Callithrix jacchus: one gene and its partner. The main gene of each other region encodes a partner of the protein of the gene in region 2 in a complex. Links are inferred from orthologs where the notes say so. Each region holds a gene or a part of one and is shown on either strand. Other genes may lie near its edges. The genes, in order: PIGY and PIGP.

The links.
Region 1: PIGP (region 2) and PIGY share a complex: the UniProt entries of both Homo sapiens proteins name them as parts of the glycosylphosphatidylinositol-N-acetylglucosaminyltransferase (GPI-GnT) complex. The link is inferred for Callithrix jacchus from reciprocal best matches to the Homo sapiens genes PIGP and PIGY.

What each region holds. Positions count from the first base shown.
Region 1 is NC_133504.1:109,148,089-109,150,872, reverse strand, and holds PIGY (phosphatidylinositol N-acetylglucosaminyltransferase subunit Y), read right to left. Parts: upstream 1,249-2,784; 5' UTR 1,151-1,248; coding exon 935-1,150; 3' UTR 687-934; downstream 1-686. Other genes in the region: PYURF (protein preY, mitochondrial), read right to left, coding at 1,249-1,395. UniProt on the Homo sapiens protein: Part of the glycosylphosphatidylinositol-N-acetylglucosaminyltransferase (GPI-GnT) complex that catalyzes the transfer of N-acetylglucosamine from UDP-N-acetylglucosamine to phosphatidylinositol and participates in the first step of GPI biosynthesis.
Region 2 is NC_133522.1:43,067,431-43,071,879, forward strand, and holds the start of PIGP (phosphatidylinositol N-acetylglucosaminyltransferase subunit P), read right to left. Parts: upstream 2,849-4,449; 5' UTR 2,641-2,848; intron 2,232-2,640; 5' UTR 2,210-2,231; coding exon 2,128-2,209; intron 1,233-2,127; coding exon 1,188-1,232; intron 1-1,187. UniProt on the Homo sapiens protein: Part of the glycosylphosphatidylinositol-N-acetylglucosaminyltransferase (GPI-GnT) complex that catalyzes the transfer of N-acetylglucosamine from UDP-N-acetylglucosamine to phosphatidylinositol and participates in the first step of GPI biosynthesis.

The DNA of each region.
Region 1 (2,784 bases), on a different chromosome or scaffold from region 2:
GGTTTCTTTGGGTTAACTACTGAAACACTTACACTATACTTTAAAAGTATTGTTCAATGCTCCATGAGTCTTGTTGAAAGTTCTGGAAAATCAGGAGCTATTCATGTGTTGATGCTCATGCCCGTTGTAGTGTTATTCAGTCTCCTGGGAAAATAAACTGAAATGTGGCTCAAAATGTGGCTGTAAGCTCAAAAGGGTACAAACTACTACTTGCAAGTCTTCGACCCCTCACTTTCCTGGGAAATGATTCTAGAGAGGAAGTACCTCTCTAAACACAGCCTATGTTTAGTGCAGTTTTACAACTTCCCTTTGTATCAATCACACTTCTGTGACCAAACAAATGACTACTGCAAACTGGTTTATTTCATCTTTTATGGTAAAGTGTCAACATCTTTATTGCTAATATAAGCAGTTAATGTCAAAGAAATGAAGGTAATTTTACAAACTTAATTTCTGTTAAGTACCTGAAATTTCTATTTGATGATATGGTTTTATATCACACTTGTTCAAATGCATTTGTCTCCCTTAGAGAGAGTATTTCAACATCACTCCTTTAGAATTATTTCAGTCATTCCTAACATGTGACTTTACCAAAGACCTTAAACTTAACAAACAAGCAAAACAAAATTTCAATAACTTTTAGATGAACAGAATAAGAAATACTCATGACATGACAATTGGGGATGTTCATCTCCAACAAGACACTGTCAAAATGTTTTCTCTGATACAGCAGTTATAAGTCAGAGCCTGCAAAACACAAGGGCAGAGCAAGAGTACAACAAAAGAAGCATCTGCAACTTAAGTCTCCCACAGTCCTAAGCCTGATATACACAAAGCAAAGCCTCTTTCCTGCAAACTTCCATCCAGTTGAGCTTTCAGAGATAGATGCCCAAGAGCTATTATTAATAAATATAGCATATTGACACTAGTTACATCAATTATGCCTGAAGAGTTTAATACCCATCCAAGTCCAAAGGTGGAAGAATACATACACTGGTATGGAAATAGGCAAGAGCAAACTGTAAAAGCAAAGGCTGGCTGTGCTAGTGCAGCCCTGTGGGAAGTTTTCTTCCACAGAGGCCGAGTAGAACAGTCCTGCTAAAGAAACCAGTGGAATAAGAACAGTCAACGTAGGAAGAGACATAAACATTCTTCTCTTCCAATTATTACCCTCCACTATGTTTTAAAAGGTATACGGTATTAAGAAAAGTCAGCTGTTGGGTTTTTTTTATTTTTTTTAATTATGAACTAGCGCTGCTCCAGTTCTTCTTGCTTCTTACTTTGATGCGTCATCCTAGCTGCCTGCGGTATCATATTAGGAATCCCATCAATGATTGGATAAGCTATTCCCAATTCTTCATTAATCAATTCATTTGTTGATGCTTCATATCTGAGGTTGAAAAAAAAAAAGAACAAAATGAATTGTGAAAAATAAAATGCTTGAAGAGCCTGATTTTCAACAAATACCACCATTTATCCAATTCTCGGTATAGAGTTAGTTAATCCCAGAGTAGTCTTCTTCAATTCTAAAAGCAACAATAGCCAATTCAACCTTTTATCTTAAAAAAAATTCTCTTAGAATCTATAATTATTCCCATTTTAGTCGGTTTCTCTCATATTCTCTTTTTCGCCTTATTCACAAGTTATTCCTTAATTTCGTTTTTATAGTAGTCAGAAAAGATCCCCCTCTTACCCAAATATTCCTTCACTACTTCGGTCAACCCTCAAACCATCTCTGTAAATTTACTACTGGAACAAACACTAGAGAAAAATCAACTTCTTCATTTTAGAATAAATGCTAAATAGAGAAACTTAACTAATCCATTAGAAGGAAATAACTGGAAAAGGTGAGAGGGCAGAAATGAGAAAACACTGGAAAGCAGTGAGTCTGCGGTGAGCTAGTTATAAAGGCAAATCAAGTAATTTCAAGGTTTGAGAAAATTGAATAATATTATGGGAAAAAAAGAAATATGAAAAAACTGCTAGCAATCTACCATTCAAAGATAGTCCCTGATAACATTTTGGTGTTTAGTTTATGCGATTTGTAATACTAGTGTTAATGTTGTTGATATTCAATTCTGGTAGCTTGGAAACTGTAGAGCTGTTTTCCCAAAAACTAGGTTAAAGAGGTTTCTACGAAACCTGCTAGTCCACAACTAAGAGCCACTGGGCAGCACACACAGGTGAAATGCTTAAGATTGTCAGGCACCAGTTGTACACGACACCTTCACAAGAATCTGGAGGGTACAACAATACTTTTCATCATCTTGGCTTAAAAACCAGAAGGCTTTGGCCTTGTCCTGAATCGCAGTGGTTCATAAACCTGGTTATACCTTAGAAATCATTTCGGGGTCGTTTAAGAACACACAAATAAGCTGGGAGTGGGGGCGGCGCCTGTATCCCCCAGCTCCTTAGGAGGCTGAAGCCGGAGTTCTAGGCCAGCCTGGGCAACGTAAGGAGCACCCTGTCTCTTAACAGGAAAAAAGAAAAAAAAAAAAATACAAATGTTCAGGTCTCATCCCTCGGACATTCCGAGTCTGCTGGTCTTGGGGGCTGTCGGGGAATCGGCATTTTTAAAACGGTCCCCGGGTGATTGCATTGCGCAGCCGGTGGCGAACCTAAAACGCTTCAAGCCATTCCCGTAGTCTGGCGATGTGGTCGGGCAGATGTGGGACGCGGCTCCCCTGGCCTCCGGTCTCCCGGTCCTGCGGGGCCAGAGTCCAGAAAATGGCAGCGGAGAGTACCTGCCTGACCTACAAGGCCCCAGTGGCTGCGGGAGGCCGC
Region 2 (4,449 bases):
AGTGGCCGAGAAAAATTTTACCTACCTATTACATCAGTGATGATGCATTCTTTTCTTAACAAATATGTATTACAGAATTCTGTATGTCAGGAGTGTGAGGCACAATACTGAATCAAAAACAGGTGGCTTCTGGGCTCCCTAAACTCAAAGTCTAGTAGTGAATCAAGAGTAAATTGGTATTTTCACTACATTGTGATGAGTGCTCATGAATAGCAAAAGATGACACAGAAGCACATTAGAAGGACCTCCTTCCACTCAGTGTCCTCCTGCCCTTGTTTAATTTCTCCCCACAGTACATGTGAGCACCTGATACTGTGTATGTTTTTCTTATTTAATTCGTCCATTGACTACCTCCCCACAACGTTAGAATAAAGACTCTATGAAAGCAGGGCATTTTGGACTGTTTTGGTCCTTCCTGGCCTGTAACAGTGCCTGGCACATGGTAAGCACTCAATAAATACTTGAGTTAATTTTTGGTTGTGGATATCATGAAATTTAAGTCTTTTTTTTTTTTTTTTTGAGATGAAGTTTCACTCTTGTTGCCCAGGGTGGAATGCAATGGTGAGATCTCGGCTCACCACAACCTCCACCTCCCAGGTTCAAGCAATTCTCCTGTCTCAGCCTCCCAAATAGCCGGGACTACAGGCACGTGCCAGCACACCTGGCTAATTTTGCTACTTTAGTAGAGACGGGGTTTCTCCATGTTGGTCAGGATGGTCTCGAACTCCTGACCTCAGGTAACCGGCCGGCCTCAGCCTCCCAAAGTGCTGGGATTACATGCGTGAGCCACTGTACCCGGCCAGAATTTAAGTCTTAAAGTGATTGCTTTTATTTACTCATATAGCTTCTAATCTTTGAGACTCTCTTTAAACAAGGATTTACAAAAGTGCTAACAATAACATGAGTAGCTAACATTTATTAGCACGTAACTGTTTCTAGGCATTGTTTTACGTGTTTTACATAAATTACCCGCTAATCCTAGCAACAGTCAGAAGAGGGAGCAGAGTGAAGTCAGCCAGTGTATTTGGGTTCAAATTTAGAGGCTTATCATTTAGCAGCTTTGCAACCTAGGGCAAATTACTGAAACCCAGTATGTTCATCTCTAAAGTGAGGACAATAACAACAGAAACTCCCCCATAGGGTTGTTTCATGCGTCATAAGCATTTAAGAACCATAATTATCATTACCTTTTACAGGTAGGGAACCTGAGGCTGCCAGCTCACATGGCTCACCTGTGGAGTCAGAATTTGAACTCAGCTGTAACTTTTTCACTTCAGTTCTAACAGCCTGGCCATTTCATTGTCGGCAAGTTGTACCGATGGTACAGGCTGACATAGTTCAGTTAGGGTTCAGAAGTACTACCCCTCTTCTACTTTCCTGGTTTCCAAAGAGTTCCAGAACGTTGGCTCAGGGACACTCAATTTCCTCTCTCTTGCGTGCCTCATAATTCCCAAATCCTTTTGGGGAGAGACTTGGGGCTTGCTTACTCACTTGTGTGACTGGGCATATTAGTGTCTCAGTGAGCGTCACCCTCCTTATCCCTAAATGGACAGTTATGGGGATTAAGGGAGATGCAGGATGCAAAGAATCCACCTTTCAACCGAACTTCTCTGGCCTACACCTCTTGTTCCTCAGATCCCACAGGGCACACTGGAGCCGTATCAAGGTCCTCATGTCCAAATCCTCTCACAGCCTTTCCACTTCTCCCCTCCCTCCTACTCAGCATCAGTGTCTGGGTGGGGGTGGGGGGATGAAAGCCTTGACTTTCCAGTCTGGTTTCAATGTCTCTCCGCTGTGCTCCCCTGACACTCGTCACACTGAGCATTAACTGTAGATTTACTTATCTGTCTCCTCCACAAGACCACTACCTCCTTCAGGGCAGGGACCAGGCTTTATTCACTCTGCCATCGTGTCTGGTGCTGTATAAATATTTGTAGAGACTAAAACCACCTAGGCTAGTGCTGGCGTACAACACTCAACAAACACGAGCTCCCTTCTGATTTTCTTAAAAAGAGACATAGGGAGAAAGAATCAACAGTTGGTGTGTGCACAGTCTAACCAATGCATTCTTCCCTTGTCACTGAATGCCAGAAAAAGCCCCTGGCCATCCATCGGGAAAGTACTTACTGAAGACAAATTGGGAGCCTAAGAAAAGAACAAAGCCATAAATCGCTCTTTCTGGCAATGGCGACGGTGAATTTTCCACCATTTTTCCTAGGGCTTTAGACAATCTGCGGAAAAGGAACACAGTTAGCCGTCAGCGACGTGCTCCTCCGCACCAGTGGGCCAATCTCGCCCCAGCGCTTCGCAGCGGGGACGGTGCCCGCCCGCAACCCGCGCCCCCACCTCGCGCGCACACAGGGACCCAGGCTGGCGCGTGCCCCGCAGAAGGGGCGGCGCGGGATAGGGCAGGGAGAGGGGAATGGGATAATAGACGCGCGCTCCAGCTCTGCGAGCGTGGCCTTCCCGCGGGAAGGGAGGGGAGAGCGGAGAACAACGCTCCCGCGGCGCCCACGAGCACGCGGGCCTACTAGGTCACGGCACCCAGGCCCCGGGCCCTGTCCACTCATGGGGGCTTCTGTTTCTCTTTCGAGCTGGGATATACCGGGGGCCTCGACCTGGGGTCTTTCATACGCCCACCCAGGCCCCGCCCGACACCTCTGCCGCCTCAGCGCTGAGATCTCTGCGCAGGCGCCGACTTGGTAGCCGCAGTGGGGGCGGAAAGACAAAAAACTGAGTGAAAGGCCTAGCGACGGCGCTCCCACCCTGGCGCAGGCGCACGACGACCCTCCTCGGGTAGGAGCCAGAGAGCGCGGGGGCCCGCGGGATCCGTTTGGCTCGCGGCGACGAAGGAGGGGGCGGTGCAGCGCTACTGCGCCTGCGCGCTGCTAGCCCACGTGACGCACCTGCCTTTAGCGCCTCCGCTCGCTCCCTCCAGCTGTCAGCTGACTTGGAGGGCCGGAGGTGGCGGCGGCGGCGGCGGCTGCGGCGGTGGCGCCGGCCCGCGTCGAGGCTCGCGGGCGGCGGGCCCCGGTGAGTGCACATCCAGCGTGCGGCAGGGCTCCCGGATGTGTCAACTTGTCCTGCTGCAGCCGAGATGCCGGGGGAGCGGGGTCTTCCACACCCCCTCTGTGGGTGTGTGGTGAGTGTGGGTGTGTGCGCGTCGCCCCGCGTCCCTCGCTGCCGTGCCTGCTGTGTTTGCGTGGGCTGGGGTCCCGCGAGATGAGGGGGTGTGGCCGCCATTGCCTGCCCCAGTGGGTTTTTCCCCTTGGTCTGGTGCCCCCTTCGCGAGCGAGGCCCTGCGATGCCAGGGCGAGGGTGGGAGTACTCCCTTTGTGCGCATCTCCCCTGCCCGTGCGTCGGCCGGTGCGTGGCTGACATCCCCTATGGGTGCAGGGGCCCACGCTCGCGTGTCGCCATGTGGCCCCCTTTGTGTCGGTGTCCGTGCTCCCTGGCGGCTGCGTAGGCGCTCTCGGCCTCTGCGGGGGGCCCCCCTTTGTGTCACTGCTCTGGTCTGTGGGCTGCGCGTCCCCCAGCGCGCGTGGCCGCGCCTCCTGCGATCGCGACCCCCGCCTAGAGCCTCGCTTGCGCGAGGTGCGTGTCCCCGAGTGTCCCCAGAGTGTCTGCGCATGGGTCCTGTCGAGTGCGTGATCTCTTGTGTGCGCGTTTAGTCCTGTCGAGTGCGTATCTTTTGTGTGCAGGTTTCGCTGGTGCGTGTTCGTGAACGTTCATGCGCACCCCTTGCTCTGTGTGCGTGTGTTCACCACTTTGTTGCCACCTGTTTTCGTGGGAACTGGCAGTCCAGTTCAGGGCCTGTTCCCACGGAACGGACGCGGGGGGGGGTAACCCCGGCGCTCCCCTCGCCCCCGCGCCTCTTTGAGTATCCTCCCCCGACAGACGCTAACGGGCAGGGGGAGGACAAGATCGAGTCTGGCCCCCTGCTCCGCAGTGTTGACGCTGTCAGTGTGGCCTGTTCAGAGGACAGAATAAGCTGATCAAAGATAAAAAATGGAGCTGAGACGTAGGCGAATTTGGGTTGGTACCAGTGCGTCATGCCTTTTCCAGAGGCGCCCTGGACGCCAAAAGCCTCTCAGTTGCACAGGCCTTTCAAAATATATGCACACGCCTACCGGGCTATGCCATCCTTGGGCGTTCTTGATGATATCTAATGGTTCATGGAGTATTTTATGGTATTCACCTAAATCTCTTTCTGTTTTGCCCAATATCATGGCGAGGGAAACAAGGTAGAAATTTTACAGATTTTACTCCTCCAGAGGGAGCCATTTCCCTGTAACTGTGACTCGAGTTAGGACATTTTTTTTTTTGTTGCAAGTAATTTGCGATTTATCCTAAGGAAAATGGGATTATTGTAAGGATACCTAGGGTAAGAAATTTCAAACCCATTAGGGACCCAGCTATTGCTGCGTTTGCTCAAGCTTTCGTGCTCTG